Linked DNA regions of Schizosaccharomyces pombe. Changing the gene in region 1 together with any one later gene gives a genetic interaction. Each region holds a gene or a part of one and is shown on either strand. Other genes may lie near its edges.

Region 1 (15,321 bases):
ATCAATTACCAAAGAATCCAATAAACCTCTCAAACCTCCGGTGGTTGATGATTTTTCTTGGACTGGAGCTAAAACGATAGAGTCGGCGAGTCCTCCAGAAAATAATTGCTCTAATAAACCAATTGATAAAACAACCATTCTAAAAGTGGGAAGACTAACTTTGATATCACTATTAGCACCAACAGAACGGTTTTCAGAACCAGTACTGCTCATATGGTCGCTTATATCAATCAACGTATCAGAATGACCATCAGGACTAGCTTCATCAGCAAAATGAAAGCAGCGTTGTATGAATTCGCTAACTGCGGATAGATACTCATCACCCATAAACCTAGTTAACCAAAGAATAGCTTCTGAAACCTTCAAAACGTCTGGTTTATCCATAAAACCATCTCCATTAAAGTCATAAAGCTCGAATATAAAAGATATATTGCGCATTACATCCCTAAATTTCAATTCTGCAATACCGGACACCAAATCCTGTAAAGATAATGATCCAGTCATGCTTTTGTCAAATCGTAAAAACAAATGACGAAGAAAGGATGATGAATTATTGATAGCCGCTGCATCCAAACCTTTCGCCCATTCAGTAACTCCTGCTAAAAATATACAAAATTCGTCAAATTCCAACCGTGTATCAGTAGAGCTGCCTAATCCAACTCGATGTTTGGACGACAATACTTCATGATAACGGTCGTAAATATTACTTAAATCCGTACGTGTTAATGTACCGTAATTTTGTAAACTCCTAATTTGTGTTCTCTTTGCAAATGACTCAATAGAATTCATAACTCCTTCGTAATGTTTTTTCCTTTCATCTTCAATTAAAGAGTGTGTTATATGGCTAAACTTCTTGAAAGCAGTTACCAATAAAAGTTGAAACTTCGTGATAGAGGCAACGCGTTTATCTGTTGCATCTTTATAAGCCTTATCTCCCAATGATGAAAAATAATTTTTTAAAATTGATATCAACATAGTGTCTTCTGTAGCCTTCATAATTTCAGCTTCGTTGTCATATAGGATAGCCATTCCAATTTGAAACAAAACCCTTGGACCCTCTAGAAAGAAAAAGTCTAACAACCTAAACGCATACGGTAAAGGCATTGTGCAAAGGAAAAGCGACAAAAACCACGGCAAAGAAATGATGCTAAGTTGAATGTCTTTGCTTACAAAATGCGCATGTAAGTTAGGCATTGAGCGTTGAACCAAACTTTCGTAAACTTGTTGATCAATTAGAGTGCCGTACATCGTCTTTGAGTAATAACCCGGAATGTAATCTTCACAAATCTTATGCATCAGAAAAAAGGTTTGTTCCTCGGTGCAATGAATTAAAAGAGCAGCTGCAACAATATTCATTGCCTGACAATAACCAACCTCTTGGTTTTTCCAAGAAAAGGCTACTAAAACATTTCGCAAAGCGTTGATACCTTCTTCATTTTGATAAGCAGGATATTCTGGAAGACTTCTACCTAAATCCTTTTCTATTTCCTCTAAAGAAAAAGATGTTTGACCAGAATACACTTTAAGAAGATGATCATATTCATCTGAATTCTCTAAACGAAAGTACATGGAGCCTGATGTAAGCTCCCATATTTCACCACGAAGTTTATTGGGCAATTCAATTCGGACCAATTTGGAGAAGAGAGAAACTCTGATTAACGAAAGATTTGCACCATAAAGTAAAAAATACTCTTTCCACATTCGTAGCTTTGCCCGTTCTCTAGAGATTCGAGGATCGGTGGGATAACCATATCGAGCACCGAATCCATAAGAATCTTTAGTTTCTGGTTCGGGAACATTGGGTTTGCAAAGGCGTTCAGAAAAGAACTGTTTGCTAAACTCGGAGGACCGCTGCATATCAGCTTTGTGAGATACAAGCTCTTCTCTCAGTAATTGGCAAAAATGTGCAGCAGTGGTTTCAGAAACCTGCAGAGATATTCTGTATTCGTAACCATTGCTTGTCGATACCGACAACAATTGCTCAAGATCATTGCTTTTCACTCGACTAACTTTTCGAATTATAGTATATGGCATACAAAATTGATTAGACTCATCATCACCTTGAAAAGCTATATAATCAGTAAATAAATAAAGCAGACCATTAAATGAATTAGGGTCTTCCAAGTTATTATAGTGGACAAATCGAAGTTGACAGGGCAAACTGTAGAGGGCAAATTGAGATTCAAGAAGTCGAAACTTCCATCGTAATTTGTTTAAGTTTTTTGAGGAATCAGGAAGTTTTAGCTTCGTCTTTATAAGACTGGCTAAAGAAGACATAGCTAGGCTTTTCTTCGAACTCAACAGCTAGTCTTAAAAGCCAATACCTGAAGGTTCTTGAAGCAACTATTTCTTAATATATCAACAGTTATAGAAAAATAAAAAAATGTTCAATTTTAAATCAGAATTTCAAAAGATTCAGTGTCGATAAGACAAAAGTAGATGCAATTTAGCAAATGACCCAATTCTAAATTACTCGATAGATCTCAGGGTGATAGATCCCCTTTTTTTATCTTTCCTGTTATTGAAAACTCTATAGAAGGAAAGAAAGCAAAACGTGTTGCCAAGCAACACTTATTGTGTAAGGGTAAATTTTACACCACGTTCGAGTAGTATGCAAGGCACCATTTCTTGATCTAAATAAAGACGTAAACCCTTGCGGTAGTGTATCGCTAAGAAGTGAGTTTATTTAGTAATAGTGTAATTACTGAGCTGGAAAAAATGAATATATCTCTCGAATATGCAATTCTGACGATATCAGTGCTGGATTAAAAACTATTCATTGACTAGATTCTTAATAAAGTTAAAAGCAACGGGATCACCCACAAACGATCTCATGCTTATCATTTGTAACTTTGAATATCTATCTATTAGATTAGGCTGATTGAGTAATGTCTTATACTATGGCTTAGTTCGAACAGGCTAGCTGCTTCCAATCAATACTTTATTAGCAAGTTTGTTATTACATATCTATTTTATAAAAAACAAAAAAATCATCTAAACTAGTCAAAATTCCTTACTAATTTGTAATACAGAACACTAGCTTAACTTCTACGAATACTTGAAAAGGAGGCTTAACCGTTAAAGCACATATCAACTTTCGGAACTTTAATATTCTATAAAACTAAATGATAGAATACATACCTTCCACTTGGTTCCACTTTTAACTCTTAAAGAAATGCTTTTGAGTAATCTTTAGAAGGAAATATCAAAATTCTTTAACCAGTTTGGGTGAAAGCTATAGTATTAAAGAGTAAAAATTTTATTTATAAATGTAAGTAAAAATAGGTACTATGTTGTGATAGCAAATCACTAAACAATAAACCCAAACCACACAAAAACATTGGATTCAAGTCCCCTCGGTAAAAATATAATAATGTACCCATAGCCCAAAAAATGCAATGAAACTTTTTACGATCTGTCTTTGACTATTAGTTTGCAGAAAAAAGCATCTGCACAGAAAGACTTCTGGTTCCCCTGAAAAGACTGAAAAAATCCAATAATACCACAAAGGACTTTCCAGACAAACATTGAGAGTTTAAAAATAAAAAAAAACCCCGAATTGGTCATTAAAATAATATAGGTGAAACGACGTATTCGTATGCTCCTTGCTATCATCTTTGACTAGCTCCTCTAGTCGTCTCCCTTAACAACACCAACCTTGGCAGGACGAATAACTCTTCCATTCAATTGAAAACCCTTGCTTTCGCAATGGAAGACAGTGTTGGGCTTTTTACCTTCAACAGGGATTTGGAAAACAGCTTCATGGATGTTAGGATCAAAATCTTCTCCGATACCGTCATAGCGAACTAAACCATATTTTCCTAAGGTTTTCATTAAGTTCGATTCAGTCATTGCTAAACCTTCATAAAGATCAACTAAATCCTTGTTGGACTCACGATTGTTACGCTTCTCCTCTGGAACAATTGAAAGAGCACGCTCCAAATTATCGACAGAATCCAAAAGATCCTTAGTAAGCTTTTGAACAGCAAATGCACGTGTTTGCTCCATGTCTCTCTTCATGCGGTTTTCCAAATTACGATAGTCAGCTAAGCTTTGGCGAATGCTACCCTTTAACTCCGCAACCTCTTTGTCCTTTGCTTCATATTTACTTTTAAGCTCAGAAAGCTTAGATTGAAGTTCCTTAACATCAACATTCTCTGTTTCGGCAACTTTTTCTTCAGCAGGCTTTTCTTCCTTAGCAGCCTCAGTTGAGTACCAAAGGAAACTGCGTTTATTAATGGGTGCTCGAATAAGCGTCCGAGGACGTACAGCGGATGAAAATACTCTTCCAAGCCCAAGCATTGTTTCAGTGAGAGCTTTGTGGTAAAAGACAACTGTGTCACACTATAGACAAATGGTGTTGTGAACTTAGCACTGTTAAATTTTACAAATATCAATTTCATCAACTTAAAAATTCGTTATGTTTCGTTAAATGAGGTATGGACTTTGAGATGGAAGCTGATTCAAAAAATATATAAATGACACTTTTTTCTCAAATTAAAGCTTCTATTTCGATATGTAACAAATTGATTGTAGGTTTGAACATGCATGTAGGAAAGCAACCCAAATTTCGAATTTGCTCAACACTGGAAGCCAACAACGGCTCATATGCTTATCAATTATTAATTTATTCTTTTCAGCTTCATTCTCAACAGATAATAATTAACTGATTTCTCATCTATATTTATATCCTTCTTGGTATGCTTTACGGCATTGGATTATATCGAAGTACTTACTTCGCAGCCTTTGAAAGTAAAATAATTGAATATTATAATTTAAGTTTTAAAATAATCCTATTTGTGTCATCTGGGCCATCTTATTATTTTTACATTCATCAGTTTATTTGCATAATGATATTTGTTGAACAATTTATGGGAGTCGAATTTTCACAAATTCCTATTATAATAATATCATATTCTTAATTACAGAAGTCTTCATAATAAAAGGTACCTTAGTTAAGTGTCAGATATGTCTTATCGGTATTGGACCTTACACTTTCATCCACCATCACTACTTAAACTCAGGAATACATTTGAGGATTGTAGAGGCAGAGCCATAGCTTTCTGTTAAATATTTATCTAAGCTTTGTGAAAATTTACGATTCAACCACTGAACACTTTTAATCGCCTACTAGTCCAGAAGTTGCGCTTTCAAGTAGCACCATACTCTCCTATTTTCCTGCTTGGACGTTTACCTAGATTTTCTAAATACTTATCTCTCTAAATCATGTCTTCACAATCATATCGAGAACGGACACTTGTTTCTGTAATTGGAGACGATGATACCGTTACTGGGATGCTTTTAGCTGGAACTGGTCAGGTAAATGAAAACGGTGACAAAAACTTTTTTATAATTACTCAGAGTAAGATTATCTGTTAAAAAATGGAATCGTGTTTTCGCTAACTTGCTGTTTTATGTAGAGACTACAGATGAGCAGATTGCTGAAGCTTTTGATGATTATACTACGAAAAGGAAGGATATTGCGATTGTATTGATTAACCAGTTTGCCGCTGAAAGAATACGTGATCGTATTGAAAACCATGTGCAGGCATTCCCTGCTGTATTGGAAATTCCTAGCAAAGACGATCCTTATGATCCTGAAAAGGACAGTATCCTCCGTCGTGTTAGAAAGATCATTGGAGAATAGACTATTAATATTTAATTATATTTTTTGAGCAATAATTTCAATTAGTCAACAACTCGATCGATTTGACTGATGACACTTTTATATTTGTATCTTTTGGTTTACTTACTGGCATACTAGCAAAAAATTGTAAGCAGAGTTTTTGTTAAACTATATTTGATAAATAGAAAAGTGATTATAAGAGAAATGTATTATTTTAAGTATAAATCTCATTCAACATCAAAACTGACATTACAACCACAAGAAGTCTTGGCACGTGGATTGTTTAAAAGTTGAAAAGAGGAACCAATAAGTTCATTTGTATACTCAATTTCAGAGCCACTTATCAAAGGTAATGAAATGTTGTCAGCAACAACCCTGGCTTTTCCACGCACAAATACCCTAGATATTTAGTCAATAACCAGGAAATACTTAATTAAAACTTATAGTCTTCTTAACCACATCACTTACGTGTCAGCATTTCCAATTTTGTTGTCCATGCGAAAAGATACTTGATATCCATGGCATCCACCACCATCGACAGTGACGCGCAAAACAGAGTTTTCTTCTGGTTTCCTTTCTGCAATTTTTTCTAACTGTTTTTTCGCTGAATCTTTCACGTATAAAATAAAAGGGATTCCCTTCTCGTCACATTGCTCTTGAAGCGTGAATTGGTCGTTCGCAAGCTTTGAGCTATAAAATCGATTTTTGATTTTGAATTCATTATTTATTTTGGGAAATATTTCTTTCGTTAATGTATTCGATTTCGCATCAATTCTACATGATCGAGAATTTCTAAGCGATCCATGCGATAGCTGTCGAATTGCGATCACAGGATTTAAGAGTGTTTGAAAACAACGTTCTCGAAAGAAAAATGGTCCTTTAAACAATAAGTTTACTCGCGATTTCATAAGCATCACTGCAAAGTATTATAGCCACAAGTTAGGACTTTCTAACTTGTAAACATACAGTAACGTAATAGAAGTCAAATTGCCTACGCTCTGTTTCGTTAATTCAGTATATTCCAAATTGGTGCTTATGTTTATGAGATAGAGAAGTTAAGTACATAAATGAAATAGTCATAACTTGACGAGTGTGTCATAGACTAAAGTCAAATTCAGGGATTTACCTATTAGTTAACACCCAATCTCTAAGAGATTTATATCGGATAGATTGAATTCGAACTTACAAAACTCTCACACCCATAGCTAGTAGAGAATAAGGGGAATTTATCAAATATATCTAGAATTATTTAATGTTCTTTTTTACTTATGTTGTATGCTACTAAATTTTGTGATGATTTATAGTCAAAATTAATATCTTTGGATTATTTTTACCTTTTGGTACTCCTACTCCTTTAATTCTCTTTCAGTTTTAAATGAATAGATTTTTAGCTATTAGAGATAATTTCAACCCATTTGGTTAATTCTTCTTCTGGATATTTATTGTCGATCCTTTAATTCTAGCATAGACCGGTGGATCACATCCAGAAAATGTCTTTATCACAATTGATGCCATTGCTACAATCTTCTACTTTAGCTAATTCTTTATCGTGATACCAGTGTATGTACTACCGCTTAATTACTATAAAGTTGCGGGTGTTCGTACAAGCACATATCACCGCAATTGTAATATTGAATCAGGTATAAGAGATCTTGGCTATTAGACTTAGAATTGGTTGTATCTGCAATAAAAAAAATAAATTATAAATTGCATGCCAATGAACAATAATTCACCCTTGCACGTAATTAATATTTATTAAAATGTAATTTACAATTTAACGTATGGTTGAAAATATTACATGTTTTATTTACTAAGAATTTGCAAAATTTAAAAATAAACAAAACTAGAAAATTAGAAAACTATTTTATTAAAAAAGATTGAAAGGCTGTAAATTAAGACCCTAAAGATGAGTACTGTTAATTTAAATAGATTTAATCTCTTAAAACAACAGCTAAAAAGTTACAGGTATACAAAAAATAATAAAAAAAACTAACAATAATCTAAGAAAGGCTTCTGATATCTTGAAGATCTTTTACTGTTGTATGTAATTTCACAAATAAAATAGAGAATCCATTTAAGCTCTTGAGTTTTAAATGAATATTTGATTCCTTTTTTATTATTATGAATACAAAGGAATTGCTCGATTAATAAAAACTATCAAATTGTTTAGCTTTCTTCATCCACAATCAAATGATTCTATTTTATTAAGGAACTTAATCTTCAAGAAGAAAATTCAGTTTTACATTCCATCTCCCTCTACCCTAAAAAGCTAAAGAATTACAAATATACTCGTATTTACGCGTTTCTCATAAATTCGTTGTAGGACTGGCCTGTCTTACGCTAACTCGTGTAGGTCGTTGTCTACGATACTCAACCAGAACTGCCCCCTATTGTTAGCTATTTGTTTGGTATTTCTACTGGTATTACCGCTACCAGTAAAAAATAAAATCAAAATATGAATGAATTAAAGCATGCGGTAGTTCCGATAGACTTACAATCTTTTTGTCTGGAAGGAACTTTGGCGTTGTGGGTTCCAGCTCTCGAAAACGACTCGGAAGACGATTCTGAAGCTATAGAAACAGCTGATGATAATGAAAAACTTTTTAAAAAGGAATGTGTAGCATATGATGCAGGTGTTTATACCTCAAATAAAAGCAAAGGTTCACAAACTTTACGATGGAGTATATTCCAAAACAGAACACTCACTATCTTTGATGTTTCATTAAATTCTAAGAAGGAGCCTTTATCAAAATTTAATGTGAAAATTCATTTTCCATCCAACGTAATGAAGGACGGTGTAGCTTTCTCGTTCAGTGAGCATTCCGACACGACCATTATATATGCTATTACTCACGCTCGCGTTTTGTATTATATTAGATTATCTAAAACTTGGTTCCAATTACCGGACGCTCGCTTAGACGACGATTGGTGTCTTTGTTACCGACCAATATCCTTTCTGAATCAAAAACCCGATTTAATGGCCGCAATTAGCACGTCTGAAATTTGTGTAAGCTTTTTCAATGGAGGTTTAACAAAGATTATATTAAATCCAAAAGACGCTAGTCACTACGAACAGCATATTGATGATTCTAGTTATTTGTTTTCCCTAAAAAAATATCTATCACTTCAGGCATTTAAGGCAGATTACCGCTCTCCTAATACTATTATTTCAATGATTTTTTTGTCTACCTATAATGTTCTTGTGATGCTATCGCTTGACTATAAGTTAAAAGTTTTGGATTTGTCTACTAATCAATGCGTCGAAACCATTGAACTGTCACAGACTATACTTCCTCTACAATCCTTTCCTTATTTAACTTCAGATCACACCACTAATTCTTTCATCGCTCTGTATTACCCAGATAATTCTCATGGCTCTTTTTCAATTTACAAACTTAACGCAAACGCCCACTCTTTTAAATTAAATGTTGTCATCGAGAAGGGCATAATTCCTCCTTCTTTACCAGACGATGAGTTCATACCATGGATGCTTTCTGATTTTCAACTGATATCGTCAGAGGGCTCTCAATCTAAATTTTTGCTCATTATTGCTTGGAAAAGCAACTTAAATACCGTTATCCAAAAATGCAACCTTAGTCTAGATCAGGACGAGAGTTTTTCATGCGTTTGGAGTCACTCTTTGGATAGCTTTTCCCTCATAGAAAAAACCTTTTTTGACGTTCCAACAAACATGTCGTCTGGGGATATCTCAGAGATTTGGCTACAACACATTTTTGCACATAATACATCTATTGAGTCTATACAAGTTGCTCTTTTAAGCTTTCAAAACAGCTCCTCGCAAGTTTCAAAAAATAAACTGGATAAATTTGGCGCACTTACTATAAGTGAACTTAAAAATGCCGTTTTGTCGTCTATAGTTTCAACGATCCAAATAGAGCCAAATTCAGATTTAACTGGATACGATTATTATGAATATAAGCGGCTATTATATAATGAATGGGAAAGGTTTGCGAAACTTGTTGCATATCTGGATCATTTTGGAGATGAAATATTAAGTATTAACTTCGATCCTTCGAACGCTGTTACATATATCAATTATGCAAATAAAGTGGCTTTTATTAGGGATCCTTATCTCATTGAATCCTTTGACGAAGAGCCGTTGACCAAATTAATTAGTTCCCTTGAAACAGATGATCCTTCTCTAATTGAAGGTTATCAAATTCTGGATCTTGGTAGGAGTTTACATTCCTGTATGTCATTTTCTACTTTATCTGAAATTAGATACTCATTACGAGAACTAGTCCAGGATTTGCCATCTTATTCTTTATTTGATACATTGTGGGTATTTTATGACAAGCACATATATCCCAACGTCGATCCAGATTATATCAGTACTTTAATTGATACTCTAGTTTCTCTTGAAAACCCGATGCGCGACATTGATTCTCTTATCCAACGCTTAAGAAGTTTCGATATTTACAACCATTCCGCTCAATCCCCTTCCTTATTTTTGTGTGCATCGGTAGCACGGGTTTTGGACAGTATTTTGAAAAAGTTTCAAGTCTCTATTGAAGGATTTATTTTTCTACTTTCTTTGATAACTAGCCAGCAGGATTATGAGTTACAATCCAAATTTGCAGGATGTGATAAATTATTTCTTTCTTTACTAGAAGATTGGCGTCTTGTGAGTTTTCTTTTAGAGAATTCTGCACTTTTGCTAGAAAAATTTGAGGAGGAGGATGTTGATTCAACAAACTGTAATTTAAATACTATGGAAGCTTTAGCAAGTGTTAACACAGCCCTTCAGTTTTTTTCCGCTTTGAATTATTCCGAATGTTTCTCAGAAAGCCAAATTTCACCTTTACATGCTACCGTGATATCGTCTTTGTCGGCAATCTTTATAAGGGACGATACGGAAAATGATCTGGTCACTGAACTTGTAGAAAAGTTGTTTCTATTCAAACAATATAATGCATGTATGCAATTAATAGGGTGGCTTAACTCTGACCCAATTGCAGTCTACTTGAAAGCACTTATTTATCTCAAATCGAAAGAAGCTGTTAAGGCTGTCCGATGTTTCAAGACTACTTCTCTAGTCCTTTACTCACATACTTCTCAATTCGCAGTTTTACGGGAGTTTCAAGAAATTGCTGAAAAATACCACCATCAGAACCTATTATCGTGTTATTACCTTCATCTATCAAAAAAGCTGTTCGAGGAGAGTGCATATATAGATGCATTAGAATTTTCTTTATTAGCAGATGCCTCGAAAGAGACTGACGACGAAGATTTGTCTATTGCAATTACCCATGAGACTTTAAAAACCGCTTGTGCAGCAGGAAAGTTTGACGCTGCTCACGTTGCATTGATGGTTTTATCCACTACGCCTTTGAAAAAGTCATGTTTACTAGACTTTGTAAATCAATTAACGAAACAAGGTAAAATAAATCAGCTTCTAAATTATTCAATGCCAACGTTAAGACAGGACGTCGACAATTTGCTTGAGCGAAAGGCCTTTCAAATGATTAACGTTGAATCACAACCATGCTGGTATAATATTTTGTTTAGTTGGCGGTATAAACATCAAAACTATCGAGACGCAGCAGCAATTATTTATGAAAAACTGAGCCGGTATATCTCTACTACAGAATTAATTGGAAAAAAGGAGAGAACTTTTATAATAGAACATTATTTGATTGTTTTGAACACTCTGGAGTTGCTTCCGAAAGAAGATACATGGATTCTTGTGACAGACATGTCCGTGGACAAGGAACCTGACCCTAACTTTCTTCCACAAAAATTACTTACTCTAGATGCAATTGTAGCAGAATATCACTTACAGTTGAAGGATGTCGCTGTTCAAGTTACAGCTGAAATGTCATCGGCCATGAATATCGATTTATAAAGGCAACAAAGAATTATTTACGCAGCTTAACCTTCTCATTTAGAAAAATCCAGAAAAAAAGCAATATGCTTGGCAGAGTTTTAGTAATTAAATCATCTTTAGTTTCATTGAGGCGATGGGTAGCCATAAATAACTAACTTCTTTCTATAAAATTAAATTCTGAATATAAATATACTTTCGATAGCATTGGTATTTACATATCTTTAACGAATTATAATTCCGACCTTTTTGCTGCAGCTTGCCGCAGTTTGCTAATTAGTGTTGTCCGTTGGGAAATATTGTTGAGATACGGCTAGTATCGGCAGAATGTTGGAACCAACAATAATTATATATTTGAATTTTTATTTCCTTATTTTATAACATTTTTTTGAAACTTTTGGTTTCAGATTAAATAATTCTCTATTAATAATAGTGTACGGAAATTGCACGCCGTGTGCCCGAATTTAAATTTGTCGGGTCCCGAAGGAATGTACAAAACACCAAGACCTGCGAAAACTGATTCTCAGTGAATTGGGTATATCGGTCTTGTAAAGATCTAATTAATGAACGTTTACCAATGTTATTGAACTGAAAATATCGTTATGAGGATTTTTACTCTTGGAAAAGGCCGAATTTCACGAGGGTATGCTCGGCAAGTTAACCCTTCATTATTTGCCAAGTACAGCTACTGTATTGCCAATAATCCTTGGTATTTCATTCTTGTGTTTACTCTTTTATCAATCACAGGTATATATTCGTCGTTGGTAGCGTATCAGCAATCCCTTTACGATCAATCATTAGCTAGATGGTCGGCTTGGTATGCCGAGAGCATCAATGCTGAAGCAAATGTTATTACGAAACAACTCTATCTTTTAGGAACGAACACATCAGTGTTTTCCGAAGACTATCTTTCAAACGCGTATCGTTGGGAAACAAGCTTCCATCAATATTTGGCGGAATACGGGTATCCTTGCATAAGAGATGAAAAATCCTGTGTAACTATTTCTCCAATACCAAAATATTATGGTAAGGTTGATCCTGTAGCTCAATATTCATATACTAAAGGGCTTCCTGAAAATGAGCGTGAAGTGAACAAGCTTAGGAATGATACAATAGCCGAAGGTTTTGACTCGCTTAGTGCTTTTGTGATTACTTACTTTTTAAAGCCTGAACAAGTCGATACTTTTCATGTTGTTTTAAAGAAATTTATTTCCGAAACTCCTAATCTATATGCAAGTTTACTTGATACATCCCCTACCACTGTCGTAGCACGTATTCCTGACCTTACTGTTATTTACAGATGGTACCTATGGGTTGGGTTTGGAGTCGGACTTTTTGCATATTTGTATTTGTCACTTGTGCGGTTGCATGATATTCGTGCTAAATTTGGTCTTACAGCGACTATATTTATTCAAAGCGGTACTGCCTACTTCTCTACCTGTTCTTTGCTGTATTTCTTTGAAAGAACGGGCCCCATATGTCCATGGCCTATGGCTTACTATATTATCATATTTATGGACATTGAAAACTCGTAAGTTTTTTTGCTATACTTCGTCATTATGTGAACGTTTTATTACTAACTTATCAGATTTCGACTTTTACGCGCAGTAATCGCTTCTCCTCAGACGAAGCGTGTTCCTTCTCGTATAATGGAAGGGTTTTCTAGTACTATTATTGCCTCCTTTTCATCCTTACTTAAGAAGTTATTGACTCTTTTTGTCTTGAGCTTCTTTGTTTATCCTCTGGTGCAGGAGTTTTGTTTGTTTCTTGCCTGTTCTTTCGTCGTTAGTTTTTTACTGCATGGAAGTTTTTTTCTAGCGGTCCTAAGTGTCGATATACGTCGTTTGGAGTTGCAAGATTTTTTAGATTCAAACTCTTCTAATCGAAACTCAAAATGGTGGGTTCCGTATCTAGAATACGTAAGATTCATGTGGTCTCCATGGATTATCGATAATCTTGGTACTGTTTCATTTCATATGTACGTTATTTATTTACAACTCCAATCCAGTACAGATATCAATGGGTCTTGGAGATTAGCATCTCCTAACATTCGCTTTCTCATTACGTTATATCATCGTTTAGGCCGTATTTTACGAGAACGAAAGTTATTTCCACTGATTACGACCGGTTGGTTTGGTGACCCCACTTTTTTAGAAGCATTAAAAGAGAAGACGATGGCGGAAAACCTTGTTATTGCTTTGTATCGACCAGTTATTCTTGACACTGTTAACCGTCGTGATTACACTAATGTCTACAACTCGTTTCATGACCGGAGAGTATGGAGATGGTCAACATTTTTCAGCATACTGTTCGCAATTGATTTTGCGGTTGGGTTGCTTGTTAAAGCACTTTTGCGAGGCTGGTCTGACCATGACGAGCTTTCAACCGATACAACATTACATGAGGAAAAATTCAGAATAGAACCCGTTCCTGTTCATCATCAGCTTGACATTTTAAAAATTGCTGTATCTGAAAACTATAAGACGTTTGCCTCCGTCGGGTTAGATAGGTGTCTTGTAGTTTGGGATTTACGTCAATGGTGTACAAAGCTTGTACTTTCAAAAGAACAAATGCCCAGGACGTTAAAAGCAATAGCTTTAGATCCTCAGGGAAACTACGTTTCGTTGTTCTCAAAGGATACTTTATTCATTCTGAATGTAGAATCTCCTTGCTTGATGCTTCAACATTCCTATCACTGTAAGCCAAATAGCAAATTAAACGTGTTCTGGATGCCGGGTACGCATAAAGATGATGAATGGAAAAACTTTGAGCTAGTGGTTGTTGAAAGCTCAGGCGAAATTCAGGTTTTTAGTCTGACTATTGAAATTGAAGGTGCAGATATAGCTTTGGTTGAAAAGTTTCAATTAAGTTCTCCGATTATTAAATCAATAAGTATCGTTTCACCCACGGCTAATAGAATTGCTTGTTTGACTGAATCCGGTGAAGTGACTGTATATTCTAAAAAAGGACCCGTCTGGTCCCCAAAGATTTTATCTCAAAACAAAAATTATCTAACAGAAACAAAAAAAGATATTTATGGAATTGCAATGGCGGACATTTTGTTTCTTGCTCGAGATAGTGGTGTCGACATGATTGACCTTAAAAACGATGAACTATTACATTCCTTTACACTGCCGCCGATAAAAGTAAACACTTTTTCAGTTGGCGTGAGTAACAGTCGATTTGTTAATGGACAGTTTAGAGTGTCATCAATATCGTTTTGTTTTACTCACGCTGTTACCGAAAAGGTTCTTTATTATTACTACGGTAATGAATGTAATGAGTCTTATATTATATTGAATAAATGGGATCAACAGCCAAATCTTGTGGACGTACACGATCCTGATAATTCGCTGGCTTGCTTGACCTTTGATGAACTACAAGAAAATATCCATGAAGTCGAAGATGCTAGTGAATGTGTAATGAGCTCAGATGGACTCTACATATTTGGCATGCGAAGAAAAAGTTCATCGGGGATTTGTCCAACAGCAGATGAGAAAAACGAAGATAATGGTTTTACTCTTCGTAACCGAAAGTTGCGAACTGGCCATTACAATTGGACGTCTTATGTACCCCTTCTAGATTCTTATATGCAAGACATGGAACACAAAAAAAATACGCATAGTGGTGGTGAAACCCAGGTATGGGAAGTTTGGATGTACTCTCAATCTGAAAAGAAGCACCGCTGCAAATCTTTAAAGATGTATAATTCTTTAATTATTGCAGACCCTGGACCTTCTCTTGCAGTCTCTGATAGATGCGTAGCCATTGTTCTAGGTAATTACGTTGCACTAGTCGGCTATGGAAGTGAAATCTTTCGTGATTTTTACCAAATCAGAAATTCCGATGA
Region 2 (17,904 bases), 2.3 Mb from region 1:
AAAACCTACAACTCGACAAACCATGCTATCAAATATAAAAAGTCTACAGGCTGTACCACATAATGTGTTTATATATGTGTATATTGTGCTATGAGATGTACTTGTACATAGCTGTAGTTACAACTTGGATATACGTGCTATACCTATTATTTAGTAGAGCGTGCAAGTAAACATATTATACCCTAGTCTTTTAACTCTCTCTATATATTCGTTACGACGACGCTTTGTCTATATGTTATCCTCGATGTGTTACGATGTTACAAGTTACACTGCGTTATGCTACTTATCCAGCGTCTGCAGTCTTACTCTTTCTCTCTCTCTCTCCATTTCCCTCTGCTCTCCCTTTCATTTCACAAGCCCACGTTAACCTCACATAGCCCGCTTACAGTGCATTGCCCTACATCGTTATATCGATGCGTTGCGTTGCCAAAGAGGCGAGGAACAATATTCGTCAAGATTTTGCTTATCTCTAACAACAAGAGTTTATCCGTTCCAACCATTTCCCTGCGGTAATCCAATTGTTATCCGTAGCGAAGGGTTCAAGTGCCGCTGACATCAACCGAGCCCATCTAGGTAACGAGGTATATCGGTCATCGTGTCGGGGTTGCTAAATAGGAATGGTTGCCTTGCAAATCGTTACCTGACCAGAGCTGCAGCGAAAACGTAAACAAAGCGTATGTACGAAGGAAGAAATTGGATGGAAAAAATGAATCGACAAAACAAGGCAAAGCGCAACTCCAAGCAAAGTGACACATGACCGAGCATGAAAACGCAATCCAATGCAATGCCACACATACACTCAGAGATGCAATGCCACGACGATGGAATGGACAATGCAGACCAACGATTTTGAGCAGAGAAATATTAGCTTGACATGATGTGAGATGGGTGGAGATGTGGAATGGAATGGAATGAATGGATGGACATGAAATGAAATTTACCAAGTAAACAAGAGAGTTAATAATAGTAAGAATGATTTGTCTCCTAGTCTCAGCAATAGCAACACTTGACAGTGACTGCAGTCTCATACTCTTCTAGTCAAGTCTCATCCTCTTCCACTCTCTCAATTCCTTTTTATCAATGTTTCTTCCTCTTGTTATGTACACAAACGATGATCTCTTCTCTCACCTCATTGCTGGACTAATATTACTCGTGGCCAAGCGAAACACAAGTGGTACTAGATAACCAAAAAATGATAAAGCATTCAATCAATCAAACCACTTACGAAATTCATACTCCCGTAAACGAATGCCGGTCGGACGCATGGAAAATCATCAATACGTGAGAGAGCTACTTAGTTGTGCACTTTGTATATGTCCAAAAATACTTTTCATTTCACATACCTGCTTGTGTAAAGACAGTGATGAAATGCGGTGCAAAGTGTCTATTCTTACATTGATGGTAAAGCTAATTCAAGCATGCTTGGAAGAAGAATTGCCTTGCATTTCTTGATCATTTGACCCAGGCGACAACTATAAAATAAGAATACTACCGAAGATGCAGATGGGGTGTGTGGGCACAACACCATCGAACCGAACCGAGACGGCCAGACTGTGATAACAAAAGAAATGCATTAGTTTAGTTGGCTGGTTCAAGTTGGTTGAGTAGAAAAATCCATCACTCAAACTGGGAAGTAGGGATGGCTGGGAGAATGGAGAAGCGAGACGAGACGAGACAAGACAAGAGGAGATGAAATGAAATTAATGAAAAGAAATGAATAGAAATGAAATAGACATATGAATAGTATAGGGCAGGTTAGATGTTTGTATTTATAAATGTTTAATGCTTAGGTTTGTATTTATGTTTACGTTGGTAATGTTTCTTTTGTTTGTGTTTGTGCATCGGGTGAACGAGTTGGTTACCGCCGCCGCCGCTTCCTTTTGCCTTGACACACACCACGCAACGTGTTACGGTTCTTGAACGGAATTGCGTACTTCGATGCAGAGCGCTATCGGGGGGATTGGGGATGGTAAATGGAAGAAATCAAAAACTTCTTTTGACGTCAACCCCTAAAACAGGGGACGGTGATTGGTGGTAACCACGGACCGGATAGGTATCGATATGCACATCAGGTGAGAAGTTTTTCCGAGGCCAACTCCGGCTCCATGGTATATAATAGAGGGTTGCGCGCTACTGTTGCAGTATCATACTTCCAAAGGTCGTATAGAACACACACACAAATTAGCAAAATGGGAATTCTCGATATTGTACCTACTGGTGTTATTACAGGTGACAACGTTTTAAAGTTGTTCACCTACGCTCGTGAGCACGGATTCGCCATCCCTGCCATTAACGTCACCTCCTCCTCCACTGCTATTGCTGCTCTTGAGGCTGCTCGTGAGGCTCGTTCCCCCATCATCTTGCAAACCTCCAACGGTGGTGCTCACTTCTTTGCTGGTAAGGAATCCTCCAACGAGGGCCAAAAGGCCTCCATTGCCGGTTCCATCGCCGCTGCCCACTACATCCGTTCCATCGCTCCTTTCTTCGGTGTCCCCGTCGTCATGCACTCTGACCACTGCGCCAAGAAGCTTCTCCCCTGGATGGACGGTATGTTCGAAGCCGATGAGGCCTACTTCAAGATTCACGGTGAGCCTCTTTTCTCTTCTCACATGCTTGACTTGTCCGAGGAGCCCAAGAAGGAGAACATTGCTCAAGTTAAGGAGTACTGCAAGCGTGCCGTTCCCATGAAGATCTGGATCGAGATGGAGATCGGTATCACTGGTGGTGAGGAAGACGGTGTCGACAACTCTCACGTCTCCCACACCGAGCTCTACACTCAACCCGAGGACATCTGGGATGTCTACCGTGAGCTCTCCTCCGTTACCCCTTACTTCTCCATTGCCGCCGCTTTCGGTAACGTCCACGGTGTCTACAAGCCCGGTAACGTCAAGCTCCAACCCGCTCTTTTGGGTCAACACCAAGCCTATGTTAAGGAGCAACTCAAGACCACCAACGACAAGCCCGTTTTCTTCGTCTTCCACGGTGGTTCCGGTTCCTCTGTCAACGAGTTCCGTACTGGTATCAAGTGCGGTGTCGTCAAGGTCAACATTGACACTGATACCCAATTCGCCTACGTCGAGGGTGTCCGTGACTATGTCTTGAAGTACAAGGACTACCTTATGACCCCCGTCGGTAACCCCGAGGGAGCTGACAAGCCCAACAAGAAGAAGTTCGACCCTCGTGTCTGGATCCATGAGGGTGAGAAGACCATGACCAAGCGTGTTCTTACCGCTCTTGAGGACTTCTACACTGTCAACACTCTCTAAATTTGTGGTTTTTGAAAGATGGAAATGATTGAATAGACGGTGGGCTTCATTAAAATTATATTTTTTTGTCCCCTTAATGAGAGTTCATACTGTTTTGAAATTACGTGTTTGAATATAGAGACATTGTTTTTTAAAATTACCATTGTAAAAGCATAAGAGATATTTGAAGTAAAGTAGGGCAAAGTAAGTTAAGAAATTTTTTTGGATTGGATTTGTAAAGTGTTTTTCAAGCATACTGTATATTGTTAAGATTTTTCTTTTTATCCTTTTATTCATCTTCCTTAATTGGTTAATGTGTTCTTAGGTATATAAATTTACAAAAAAAAAATTTCCGATTCCACATGACAATGAATGAATAAATAATATGTCCGTGCGTTTATTTGAATTTAATATATATCGTTTGGCAAATCTCGATGAGTAGCTTAAAACAACATAATCGCTTGAATTTCATGTGCTTTGTGTACACAGTGTGCATTGTTTAGTAGATCAACTTTTTCTTCTTTCATTGCAATGAGTACGGGCATTTTCCCTTTTCCTCCATATTTCACGAATCCATGTTTTTTTTAGATAACCCTTTCTCAATCAAAACTCAGCATGCTTCTTCAGACTTGACCACTTATATTGTCAGTACACTACTGCTCCTTAAAAGCTTACTCCAAGTCAAGACATCAAGGTTGGAGCAATCATTCTCTTCATGAGGTACTATGGCTGATTTTCTTGCTAGAGATTATCGCTCTCAAGGTGAGGCGGCGCATGAAATGCTGCCGACTTTCCTTATAGGAAAAATCTTGAGAGAACGCATAGTAGATTCTATTTACTGGAAAGAACAATGTTTTGGATTGAATGGTATGTGTTCTTCATTGACAGAAAAGGAAAGTGTTTTTACATATTAGAGTTCAAGTACGATTACTTTCCAAATCGATATTTTGAGTGATATAGCCTAAATGAACTTGATTTGGCAAGCAAAGAAACCAAGTATAGGTACTTGCTGTTTTAATCAGTCCTCAAACTGTTATTCCAAATTCACTGACTAATACATCTTAGCTTGTTCATTGGTGGATCGTGCAGTACGGCTTGAATATATAGGTGGTCAGTATGGAAATCAACGGCCCACCGAGTTTATCTGTTTGTTATACAAGCTTTTACAAATTGCACCTGAAAAAGAAATAATTCAACAGTACCTATCTATTCCTGAATTCAAGTATTTACGTGCCCTGGCTGCATTTTACGTTCGGCTTACATGGGATGATGTGGAAGTGCATCAAACGTTGGAACCGCTGTTAAGAGATTATCGGAAATTAAGAATTCGTACTAATTCTGAGATCCGATTAACATATCTGGATGAGGTTGTTGATGATTTGCTAAATGCCGAAGTAGTTTGCGATATTTCCCTGCCCCCATTGCGAAGTCGACTCCAACTTGAAGATTTGGACTTGCTTGAACCACTTTCATCTTCTTCAGACGAAGAAGATGATGATGAAGAACAAATTAGTAAATTGGAGAGCAATGAAGGTGCTGTAGATCGGAATATTTAAGGATAAGTAATATACAAAAAAAGAGTAAAGCGAAGCACGCATTTTGTGATGCGTCTACGATTTAACTTGGAATGACTCTACAAGGAAAAGTTATGGATTGAAATGGTTTTACACTTGAACTTATTAAAAAACAATTTATGAATAACAAACATCTAATCAAATAGATTTGTATATTAATATATATCGATTTCACATATTATCGCAAATACGCTATTTTTTCTTGTAAACAAATTTCGATAGACTTAGTTTACAGCACACTAAATATTTATAAAATGTCTTTGATACGCCACGGAATTTTTTTCACACCATACTTTAACGAATCACCCCATTCCGTCTATTTTCTTACGTTTCGTTAAAAACATGTCAGTCCACTTCTTTTTTGCTCACATATGAATTAACACGACTTTTCTCTTTCATCCATTACCATACTCGAGCAATCCTAACTTTGCTTATCGGGTGATCGATTTTAAATTTTTTTACTTATAGGACGTCCAGTAGCCTTTATAAGTTCATTGACAACAATTGGGTTGTTGCTGAGAGTTTGTTTACTGCGCTCGACTCTTGCTATAACCTAATCTTAAACGATTATCAAGCTGGATTTCCTTCTTGCTAAGAACATTATTTTATTTTACAACTCATTCAAGAAATTATTTTGCTATCTATCGCCTTGGATAGCTTTTAATGCGTCAAATTTTGGATAATTTGTAGCTCGATTAGAAAATTCGCTCAACATCCTATACAGTCACAGAGATAAAAAACCCTAAGAGTTAAATTCAATTTCTCTTTATTGTTGGATTTTTTAACTCGCTGTTAAATTCCGCTTGGTTCTAGCTGGAAATTTTGTTAAATATGCAAAGCTCAATTCCGTCAGTTTCCGTGTCGGTCGCTTCTCCTGCAATGGAAACTCCAACAAAAGCTTCGCCTGACAGCAAATCACCCAATTCAGTGGGTGCGATTCCTTCTTCATCCCCTTTGGCTTCATCGACAAAGGCTTCAACTTCTACTCCCTTTGTGGAGAATTGTTCCAATCTGTTGTGTGATTTGGCTAGCATTGTCGAGGACTCACCTCCAACCTTGACCAACACCTCGTTGTCTCCCCATTCGTTTTCCCTTTCTGATATGGAGTCATCAATGAGCAATTGGCTTAACCCTTTTGCGTTCGACAATACGATGAACTCGGCGCCTCCTCTGTTTACTTCGACCAACATGGGCTCCCCTAACTCGTTAGAAAACTCTACAAATCCTCTTCTCTCTAATTGCGGCTCTCCAAATTCATTTCAGAATGAGACCTTTACCGGCCCATCATTGAATGAGTTCGATGCCGATGATAAAATTCAGCGCCAAATGAAAATCCTTCACTCTGTTGATACAATCGATCCATCGACTGTTCAAAATTATCCTTCAGCTGATATGTCAAATCCAGAAGTCAAATTGAAAACCGAAGAAATTATTACACCCATGGACACCACTTGCAAGCCTGAACCTTCTGCCAAGAAAATAAAGTTGTCTCCTTCCTCGGAAGATTCTTGCTCAATTCCTGAAACATTACCTTTTTCGGCCCCCAAGTCTAGAGGCTCATTATCTCCTTCTGAAACCCCAGATTTTGTAGCCGGTCCTGGAGGAAAACCAAAGAAGACAGCTCATAACATGATTGAGAAGAGATACAGAACCAACTTGAACGACCGAATTTGTGAATTGCGTGATGCAGTTCCTTCACTTCGTGCTGCTGCTGCACTTCGTTGTGGTAATTCTCTGGACGATGAGGATTTGGGGGGTTTGACACCCGCTCGTAAGCTTAACAAGGGTACAATATTGGCAAAAGCAACTGAGTATATCAGACATTTGGAGGCCAAGAATAAGGAACTACAGAAGACTAACAAGCAGCTTTCAGATAGGCTGGCTTTCTACGAAGATCCTTCGATGGCTCCTCCTTCTAACGATACTCGAGCCGTTAACTCTGTTAATGTTGTTTCCTCATCTGACTATTCTGTTCACCAATCTTCTCGACCAAACCTAACCCAAAGAGCTTTTACTTCCCCAACCCTAAATACCATGGGCCGCACAGCACTAAATGGCATGGTTGGACTTGGTCTATTCAATTATTTTGGAAACGATTCTTCTCAATCTGTTTATGGTTTATTCGCTCTTCCACCTTTTCTTATGTCTCCATTCACAGGTACTGTTCTCTTTAACATGCTGAAAATTGGTGTTGTTTTACTCGGTTTATTCTATCTTTTGCACGATAACTCTCTTTTCAAAGGCTTCAAGGGTGAAAAGAAATCTAAAGTTAGTACCAGATCTTCCATGTCACCATCCTCAATCTTATTCCGAAAAACCGTATTCGAAAAGTATTGTTTATTGGACCATTCTACTTCGACTATTTCTCTATTTTTTGGATTACTGATCTTCACTCTTAAATCTGCTTATGGCTATTTGACTCATCGTTTGAGTGCTCTTTATACCTCCTCTGAGAATTGGGTTTATAGTGAGCAACAACTTGCTGAAGTTCGCAACATGGAAAAGCTTTTGGATGCCCAATTAATGGGTGGTGATGCTAAAGTTGACCGTTTGAGGCTCTTAATGGTATTTGCCAGTTCATTTTCTCTTCCTCCTTCAAGTCATACTTGTGCTTTACAAGCAATGTATTGCCAACTAATTTTTTCCAACACCTCTGTCCCATCCGCTATCGTTTCGAAGTGCGTTGCTTTCTTCTGGAATGCTGCAAAGAAACAACATAGCAAAAGTTCTGTACACGCGGAGTTACGTGAGCTTCCTGAGTGTACTGCTAACCTAATTGAAAACTCCCACGCTGACGACGTTTTCTCTCCGAATATGGTTGAGCGATTGTGGGTTCTAGCAAAGTGCACCCGTGACTCTGCTCAAATGTCAGATAGTATTATTAGCTCCTTATCTGATGTTTTGGTTTTATCTCCTCTAGAGGTGCTTGCCTCATGGTATGCCGCTGATTTGTTGGATGCCCTTTTGATGGAAAGTTTGAGCCGTAAAGTTGAGATATCCGAGATTGAGGAAATTATTTCCCTTTGTCCTAAGAACTCCTCTATTATTCGTCATGCTTTACTAGCTAAATTGGTTTTGTTCCCCGAGAATACAGCTGATTCTTTGAATGAAGTCCTTGCAGCATACAAGAACACTTTGGATTTATGCAGCCAAGATAAACGCAAGCAGTCAAGCGTGTTAAAGATCAACTTATCCAAGCTATTCACACTCCACTCATGCCTATCATTAGCACTCCAACGCCTTGGATACGGGGATGTTTCTAAACGTATGTATCAGGAAATCTTTGTACCTGATAGTGATGCAGACATTACACCTTTATCTTTTATTATTTCCTGGACCGCTTTGAACACTTTTGCTCCTATTTGCACATCTCCAAAGGAAAACGATGTCGTTGAAAAGATGGCCATGTACGTGCGGACGGCCATCGGAACTTTGAAAATTCAAGATTTGAAATTATCTCGTAAGTTAATCAACTCTTGCATAGATATTGGATCTCGCTTACAAGAAGATTTGGGTTATGTTTCATCAGCTTAAATTGTCGATTCTCGAGCTTTGAGAACAGTTAGTATACAACGCTCATCTATTGCAACTACCTTATTATTTTCCATGATTGTTATTTCATCAGTTATTTTGCGTATCATTTTTTAGTTTTAATTATTCTTTTAATAAATTACAGTTGTCGTCGGTAAGAGCAGTGATAAAAATATGCAATTAGAGTTATTTTGTTGTATCAAGCTAGCACAATTCACCATTTGAGTATATTTGGTGATTAAATAAAATGAATAGAGTACAATTTGAGGCATGCTAAGGTTCATCGAACTAACTATTTTTTTAAATAATGACACATTGGCAAGATTAAAAAATTGGATTCTTCTCTTGCAGTTAACTCTCTGCTGTTGATGAAGATGTGTTGAATCTTAGACTGCTGATATCCATTTTATACCAATTGTATAAAAAAAAGAATGTCAATTATTAATAAAATGGAAATGCATAAGATAGATAAGAGTGGTCTGAAGTTTTACGGTACAGTACGTAGTTCCGTCCTTACTGAAATCTCGGGAGTAATACGAACCATTCACCAAAGGTAAACAAACTACCAAATTGTTTTTATGTATTATTTACTACTATATTGGTTAACTTATTCTGAATCCTACAACCTAAAATAAAAATAAATAGACTCGCTTTTATTATTTGTCGATTCAAGAACTTAGCTCTCCTTTGAAGATGAACAAACATTTTGCAAAGCTTTCACAATGGACCGGTGAAAAATTTGGTTTTGATCGTCAGAAGACTACATTATCTGATGATTTTTGTTCCTTGAAAGGTGAAACGGATGCCTGGCTTGTGGGAATGGATAAAATTCATAGAAGTTGCACAAGATGGGTACGGAATATGGATAAACGAAAGGGCCTGCTCGACGAGAAAGATAAGCAATTACCTGTTACTCACGTTGGATCGTCTTTTGTAGAGTTAGGGCAAGCATTATCGCATTCTTCAAGCAATTCGCACACTTATATCATGTACGGAAAAAGCATGGTTGAAATAGGGCACCTACAGGAGGAGTTTATGGATTATTTGAACAATTCTTTTTTGGCAAATCTAGAAAATTCTTTAGCCGAGTTTAAGGCTTTAGATGTGAAGGAAAAGAAGATGGAAAATCGACGACTTGTCTTTGACGCGCTTTCTACAAAAATACAGAAGGCCAAAAAAGAAGAGTCAAAGCTTGAAGAAGATTTACGGAATGCTCGCGCAAAATACGAGGAGTCTCTGGAAGAGTTTGAAGACAGAATGGTTCAATTGAAAGAATTAGAGGTAAGTATTATCGTCCTAATGACATTCGTTACCAATTTGATGCCATAATTAAACGATTATTAGGCCTGCCTAACTTATCTTATATGACTCAATATTTTTGTTAACTAATTTTTAGCCTGATCGTGTCGAAAACGTTGTACGACTCCTACAGATGCAAATACGATTTCATCAAAAAAGTCTCGATTTGTTAAAGGGACTTGAGATGAACGGATTTTCCAAGAAGAGGGATAACGTTAATATTCCAAAGCGTACTTATTCCGCAAGATCTATTCCATCGAATATTTCTTCAACAAATGTTGCAACAACGCCCTCGAATACCATTTTTGAAATGGATGATACTTTAAAGGCCGATAGTTCTTCAAATGAATATCATTCTCCCACCAATACACTCCCTTCTTACCATACAGAAGCTGACCTGGACAATTCTTCCATAGCTTCTTCAAATAGAACACAGCATACTGAAGATAATTATAACAAGGATGTTTCGGATGCTCAAAATTCATTGGGGCAGTCTGCTGTAGATTTAACAACTCCCTCATCACCTCCAATCCCCCGTCATACCAAACCCAAACTGTCTACGACTCAAAGTACCCCAGTCAAACCGGCATCGTTACAAAGTGAGGAGGATATCCAGTTAAGTTTTAAACAACCGGAATTATCTGCTTCGTCGGCAGAATTGGATGAAAAGTTGAAGTCTCAGTGTAATGTATCCCCTTCACCTTCCAACATTTCTGATGCTCCCCCGAGCAAGCTTAATCGTAGTTATTCATCTCCACTTGCTTCCATTTCATCCAGAAAGGTAGTACGAATGAAATATTCATTTGAGCCAGAAACAGAAAATGAGTTAAAACTAAAAAAGGGAGATCTTCTTTTAGTTTTAAAAGAAATTGATGAAGGTTGGTGGGTTGGGGAGAAACTGGGTGAAGATGGGGTTTTTACTGGAAATACCGGAATGTTTCCTTCAAATTATTGTGTTCCAGCCCATCCATGGGACAAAACATTTCGGGCATTTTTGAAAAAGGGCTTTAAGTAGTCCCATTTATTCCGAGTACTATTGCTGCTACTTTCCGTCCAATTTTAATGGCTGTTGTGTCTACAATCATTCTTTTTTATTTCATTTTAAATGATTTTTTGAAGCTCCTTTCTTTTGCATTATTTCATTTTTTTAGCATAATACCGACTGATTTTTATGCATCACGTTACCCGGTACTCTTCATTTTTTATTTCGACTGTCGATATACTTGTCTGTATGACATTAAAATTGAGTGATCTTAACCTTAAAAGTTAGTTTAAACAGACTTGTTAATCATGTTAGCACCTATGCTTTAATATAATTAAGATTTATCTCGAACTTTTGTTTCCGTAAATTTCATACTTTTAAATAAGATGGAAAGAGTATGAACAGTATTATTTTAAAAGTGGATATAAAAATGTATTCATGAATATCATAATGTCAAAGATATCCTTTAATCTTTTAAGTTTTCTTTGTTATATATTGATTACAGGTAAATTTGAAGATTACATCTTAAATATGGAAATTTTCTAGTAACCGTTTTAAACGGGATAATGAGATTTAACTTACATCTCAGGACTTTTCTAGTTGAGCATTTAAATGCTTATTTAATTATTAAAAAAAAATTCCAACGCCTCAAATTATGGTAATCGTGATTATTTCATTAAAATGGAGAACATAAAATTAACACCAAGATATCCAGGTAAGAAAAAAGCATACTAATGTTTTAAATAAAAAGGGTAACAACTGACACGGAAAAGGAAATAACACCAAATGTTGAGGAGTAAAAAGAAATTCAGAGAACTAACCCTATCGTTAAAAAAAAAAATTATTTTCACTGAATAAACCATGAGATATGCTTGAAGAGTAGCAGGTTAACAAAAAAAAAGAGAAAGTTATTCACAGAAATTAACTTAAAAAGAACCTTTGGCAGCCATGAGACGTTGCAACATTAGCAACTTAAAGGCACTGTACTGAAGGCCAGATACTTTTCCGTTATCAACCTCGGACGGAATCTTTTGCTGCAGGTTTTCCAACCAGTTGTTAGTGATGGTATAATTCCTTTTAAGTTTATTAATGTTGGTAATAATCTTTGTAGGAGTATCAGGTATGGAATCAAACGCAGATTCAGTAAGGTCAACGTTTTTAGAACCAACAAAAGTTTCGGAAGAGGAAGCAGACTTGTTTGATGCTTCATGAATTTTAATTACATGTCTTTTCTTGACACGTTCTCGGCGGCGGAATTGTGAGGTACCATGACTACGACCAAAAATGGATGGCCTAGCCGTGGTGTCATTTGAACCAAGATAGTCTGATGCGGAATATTGGGTTGCAGGGGAAGATACAGCAGAAATATCATCAGATTGAGTAGTCAATTGCTGTATAATCGTATCGGGAGGAGTTGACCGGTATATGGACATAGGTATTGAAGGAGAAGAAATAGGAAGTAGTGCTTTTCTGGATAAGGCTAAAGAAGCAATAGATCGAATGTTAGGATGCGTTTGGACATCCAATGGGCCCATTTTAATTGGGAGATGAGTGTCGACTTTCGTAGATTCATGATAGTCGGGAGGACCATCTAGCAAATCTGGGTTATAATTAGCCAGAGAAGTATGAGATTGGTTAGGAGAAGTGAAAGGAATTTTTTGAAAAGATAGATTAGAGTCGGACTTGGCAAACCAAATTCTTGACATTTTGTATATGATGGAAGGAAGTTCTTCCTGAAACAGGGAGACCAGTTGCACCTCGATTTCTCTTTGTAAAAAGCGAGCAATAGCAGGAATAGAATCAAAGGAGGAAGATACACGCACGGATTCTAAAGGATCGTTTCGAAATACCACAGTGATACCTTTCTGCTTTGAAAACACCAAAACAACTATTCCGTTAAGCTTTAAGTCGGAAAGTCGTAAAAACATAGGCACAGTAAGCGGTGCACGAGATGCTAACATTGTATTACGAGAACTAAAACTGGGAACATTACTTTTTTGCACCGATAATGGATTGGCACGAATTTTTGTTTGCAAGACCAAAGAAGCATCACCCGAATAATGGAGATTAAAGAGGCCCTGAAAGCGGTCTGGCGCTAAGTCGCCAACCTCTAAAATTTCCAGTTGAGGAGGTTGGGGACCCAAATCCAACTCTTTTACAGTGATGTGGTCTGCAATCATCGAGTGTTTAGTGCCTTTGTTTAAAGCAGCCGTAAGCAAAGTGGTTGCTCGCTCATAGAATGACTCAGAGAACTGATCACTCCATCCCTTTACACGAAACGACATTCTGTTGATTTTCCTAAGTTATCTACATCAACTATGAAAAATGTCAAATTTTTTTGTAAGGAACCGTCTAGTATAGACTAAGTAACTAACGCTTTAGATCAATTTCTTTACAAAATTTTTATTAAATTCGGATAGGGAAACGACAACTTCCATACAGTGGCGGACAGTAAATAAACATCGATAGGCTGGCTGATGCACTAGTGCGGCATACTGAACCTTGATATAGCCAAGATAAGGATAGGGTCGATCGTACTGTATATGAACGAAGGTGTATTAGAATGCATTAAATAAATTATTACAAAATGCACAGTAGTTTCTTATGCTATACTGGTGAAATATATTTTCTTGCTATTCTGTTCATTTAGGAGGGATAAATAAAGCTTCATGAAATGAAATTCCTTAGATATTCAAATCAGAAATTCAGCCATTATTTTAGAAATGATATTAGTGGTGTTGCTTACTGTATTAATTTGCTATGTTGACAAATATCTAGGCTGAAGAACTTCGAGTACAAGAACCGATACAACTTTGCTCTTTCAGAAAAGGATATCTCTGCATAAATGAATGATATTAAATCAAAATTGTTCGTTTTAAAAAACCTATATTATGTTTGTTCGCAGTCCATGTACTACGTTAAAAAATCACTGTAAACTTTCTAGATATCATTATTTAGAGAAGAGCAGAAAGGTAAAGTATTGCAAAGTGTGTAACCAGAAACTGTAGGTAGACAGTAAACTTGATTTTGTTGCTAAAATTTTTTATAAAACTAATTGCATACTAAGTTTAACATTCTAAATCAATTGGAACAAGTATTGAAGTTTAGAGCAATTTGGGATTTGCGAATTTCCACACACCCCTTTACGTCTCCATACCGACTTTTCATTATTTCTGCAAGGATTTGCTCACCCAACTTTTTTCAATATAGCATATTAAGAATTCTGGTTTTTAAAAGACGGTATCCCCTTTTTTACGGCCTTTTACTCACTTAATGATGATTGAAATCATTCCTAAAATTTCAATTCCCAAAAATGGACTAGGTTCATTTACCCGCCCAGTAAGATTTAATCAGCTTTCTTTTTTTTTAAAAAAAAAAAAAAAAAAAAGATTGGCCTTCATTAACTTCGTATTACTAATTTTCTTTTTAGTGCCGTCGAATTGAGTTTTCGTATTGTAATTGGGGTGGAAGCTCAAAAGGCATGAAAGAATTTTTATCCACAAAGCTTGAGTCTTTGGCCAAAGAATCTCAAGATGTGGAATTTCATGTTACAAACCGCCAAGGCAAGCATCCATTAATCCGAGCTTATTACAGTACGTCCAAGACTTTTCTCTTATTATGGTGATCCTCTTAGTTTTATAAATATGAACTCCTTAAAATAGTGTTTTTTACTAATGCTACGATAATAGATACTGGTCGAGAGAAGGTCATTTGTACAAGGAAAATGTCAGCGTCTTCAATATTTCAAAAAGCAATTCTATGCAGAGATAGTGATGGTTTGAAACCTCGCCTCATAAAATATCCTGTTGAGTCAACAAACCCATCCGTTCGTGGTATTTGGAGTCCATTTTCCGATCAAGCAAAGCCCCATGAAATTTATAAGAAAAAGTCCCCTTAGATTCCTCTACAAACTACTTATTATTTCATACAAAAAAAAGAAAATTCAATTTAATCATTTTCGTTATGTTATTATGTCTAACCTTTTTGTCCGAAATACAAAACCCTATCCAAATTTATCTTCCCATAAATACTCTAGTTAACCAGGTAGTAAGTGTACAGATGTATCAAATCCCTTCTTTTTCAATATCAGGAATATGCAACGTCCCTTTTAAGCTTTTTAAAGAAACAGAACAGCCATAGCAAACATTTTGATTCTTAATACCTTCAACGGAATCCGGATGTTCAACCGTAGTTTTTTGTAACCAAGTCTCAGCATCTTCTTGCATTGGTAGATTACAGATGGTACATATGGCTTCTGTAGAAGGCACATGCAATTTTGAGCTCATTTTGACAACGGTGCTAACCAGACTTGGGAATGTATCATTCAGCGATGAGAAATATGATTCTGTAACGCCATGAATAGTATTAGGACGTGCTTCAATTAAGCTATCGCAGAAAGCTAATCCCTTAATGTTCATATACGACTTGAGGTCTGAAGACAAAACTTCACGTAGGGGACGTAGTAGGAAAGTATCGCAATTTGGAAGCTTAGAGCAGACAGAAGTGTACCATGGTATCGCAAAACCTCGACCCTCTGCCACAAGTTCAAGAACTCTTGCAGCAATTGTAGTACCGCTATCACCAAAAACAATGGTATCACAATTTGCCTTCCGGGCATAGGATACTAAAAGCTTATCCCGAATTCGGTAAAGTAAATCTTGACGCGAGGCTAACGAACTAATGACTTCTGGATTAAATTTCTCATTATCTGCGTTTATTTCTATATTTCCTCGTGAGTCTGTAGCAATGGTACGGTTCAATAACTCAGCTTCACCAATAACTTTGAATGGACATTTAGGATAATTTTTGGAAATACTTTCCTCAATCGTTTTTGCAACAGCTGAATCCGTTCCCCACTGAAAATGAACTGCAAGCAATTCATCAAACATAGGCCGGTAATTATCATCTCGATATTTTGATAAATAATTGGCTGTTTCAAGCATTGCCATTGAAGATATACCACCGGAAATAGCCAGCATTGCTCTTTTAGATTTGCGTCCTTGTAAATTGGGTCGTACAAGCTCAAATTGCCGACGAATTTTGTTCTCAATTCTTCTGACAAAGCATGAATCGCAGACCGCATCTGATTTAGTCAGAACTGTTGCCTTATTATCGCATTTGGAACATTTTGAGTCGGCTGAATTGTCTAGAGCCGTGTTCTGCATTTTTTTAGATTTTTCTATTGTTTTTCGAAATGAAGGTCCACAAAGTACTTTCAAAAAAATTATCCGTATAAATAAATAAGTTTAAGAGATACCTATTCTTCTTTCAATTCCAATTTTATGGAAAAAGAATAGTTGGTGGTGCGCAAACCAACTAAACACTGGAATTTTTCATAGTGCCAGCTACTCACACAGTACACCACCATCGACCATGTCTCTGTGTATTAAGTTGCTTCATGAGACCCAAGGTACGATTTTTTACCCAATTTTTTTTTAGTAAAACTAATTTTTAGGCCATATCGTTACGATGGAGTTGGAAAATGGGTCTACGTATCGTGGAAAGTTAATTGAAGGTATATTCATTTTAAAACGATTTCTATTTTGTTATGGTTTACTTACACTAATTAGCGGAAGATAATATGAATTGTCAAATGAGAGATATCAGTGTAACTGCTCGAGATGGTCGTGTTTCTCATTTGGATCAAGTTTACATTCGTGGTTCACACATTCGTTTTCTCATCGTTCCTGATATGCTTAGGTAAGAATTTTTAAGTGGTTGGTTTAATCATAATTTTAACGTTTTTAAACAAGGAATGCTCCTATGTTCAAAGTTGGCCCTGGCAGAAGTGTTCCTTTACCTACACGTGGACGACGATAAAAGAACCGTATGAAAAAGGATAATAGATTTGGTGATTTAAGTAATGAAAAATTCATTTCTACTGTTGCTTTAAAGTTGAAAAACGTAATGATTTTTTAAATATTCAATAAATTAATGGACGCACGTGTTTCTACATTGCATTGTAAGTAGTAAGAGATATTGTGAATAAGCTCTTTTTACATCTTTTCGAAGTACGTTTATGTAGCTGCTGTTTATCGGAGTGATACCTTCGACTTATCTATAGTGACAAATGCTATTACCACTATTTTGTGTTGTTAAAATACATATTTACAACATAAATCTTTATATGCTATACGAATGCAAAAGTTAAGTAAAAAATTGAATAATATGTAATATCCGATACTACAGAATAATAAACCTAACTTATTTTAGCTTAGAAAAAAAAATTAGGTTCTTCTGGCAGCAGCCCGCTTGGAAATCTTTCGACGTTGAGCAAGCATATGTGTATACATAATGTAAAGACCTAGAAAGTTAATAAAGATTTTGGAAGAAAAGCTGGGTTTCACTCAACTTACCAGGTGGATAAATAGACATCAAGATGGGCCAAAGCAGCTTGTTCAAACTCCAGACGTACTGAGCAGCAATCCTACTTTTCAATACTAAAAGAAATTCACTTCCAGCACCGATGGGATAGAGGATTAGGAAGGTATTATAGCGAAGCCATGTTAAGAAAGCAGGGATGTCGCCGTTCAGGTTGAATGCATAAAATGCATAACGAATTATTTCGGTAATGGACCAAGCGATGATCATACTTAAGTATATAGGAGATCCCTCAATAACATATGAAAATGGATAGCACACACCCCAAACAAGGTAAAGTCGAGATGCAACTTGAATGATTGTTGTTAAAGGAGAAGAAGATACTAGTCCAAATATACTGTGGAATACTTCAGCTATTGCCAGAGTTTGTACCCAGCGAACTAAAGTATTTGTTTCATGAAAAACTACGGCTGTATCTTTGGTTATTCCCCATATCAATCCTGTACGAAGCAAAACGCTCATCCAAAGAAAGCAGGAGATAACATTGTATAGTTTTAAATATTGTATTTTTACTATTTTTAACTTTGTTAATAACTGAGATCTATAAAAAATCGAGTCTTACAAATTTTCGACATTTTTGTTGGGATTGTAGTTGGAACAATACGATTTTCAAACGTTTCACTACGCGGCCTCACTTGTATGAGACCATTGTTGGCCAATATTGTTTGTTGCGTTCTGGGGGATGGATAAATTCTTTCTATCAAAAGAATGTATACAAACACTTTACAAACAACTTTTAAAATTCGGATTTGGCTAACATCGTTATGTATTAATGAAAATATCAAATTCGCACAGAATCATAAATTGATCAAAAATAATATCAATCAGATTATTAAAAAATTAAGGTAAATTACATATTCTATAACTAATTGGGTTATCTGACTCGATTGAT

What was found.
Region 2: of scp1 (region 1) and sre1, extra expression of one rescues a mutant of the other (dosage rescue), as found in Schizosaccharomyces pombe (2 studies listed by BioGRID).

What each region holds. Positions count from the first base shown.
Region 1 is NC_003423.3:4,011,528-4,026,848, reverse strand, and holds the start of scp1 (Sre1 cleavage-activating protein Scap Scp1), read left to right. Parts: upstream 1-11,964; 5' UTR 11,965-12,073; coding exon 12,074-13,002; intron 13,003-13,059; coding exon 13,060-15,321. Other genes in the region: SPOM_SPBC215.01 (GTPase-activating protein), read right to left, coding at 1-2,277; GrpE domain-containing chaperone mge1, read right to left, coding at 3,631-4,302; vma7 (V-type ATPase V1 subunit F), read left to right, coding at 5,227-5,362, 5,421-5,647; Fe-sulfur protein Isa2, read right to left, coding at 5,854-6,025, 6,095-6,540; nucleoporin, WD repeat Nup120, read left to right, coding at 8,082-11,492. UniProt on the Schizosaccharomyces pombe protein: Escort protein required for sre1 processing at low sterol as well as oxygen levels.
Region 2 is NC_003423.3:1,686,178-1,704,081, forward strand, and holds sre1 (transcription factor Sre1), read left to right. Parts: upstream 1-5,216; 5' UTR 5,217-5,650; coding exon 5,651-8,353; 3' UTR 8,354-8,514; downstream 8,515-17,904. Other genes in the region: protein mug124, read right to left, coding at 591-1,028; fructose-bisphosphate aldolase Fba1, read left to right, coding at 2,190-3,266; U4/U5/U6 small nuclear ribonucleoprotein complex subunit PRP38, read left to right, coding at 3,971-4,112, 4,311-4,801; SPOM_SPBC19C2.10 (BAR adaptor protein ), read left to right, coding at 9,044-9,631, 9,747-10,664; protein Mdm34, read right to left, coding at 11,558-12,916; mrpl51 (mitochondrial 54S ribosomal protein mL43), read left to right, coding at 13,905-13,970, 14,062-14,224, 14,321-14,529; cytosolic thiouridylase subunit Ctu2, read right to left, coding at 14,696-15,796; Sm snRNP core protein Smd3, read left to right, coding at 16,005-16,041, 16,087-16,146, 16,202-16,331, 16,385-16,451; phosphoprotein phosphatase Phs1, read right to left, coding at 16,859-16,935, 16,988-17,524, 17,575-17,587.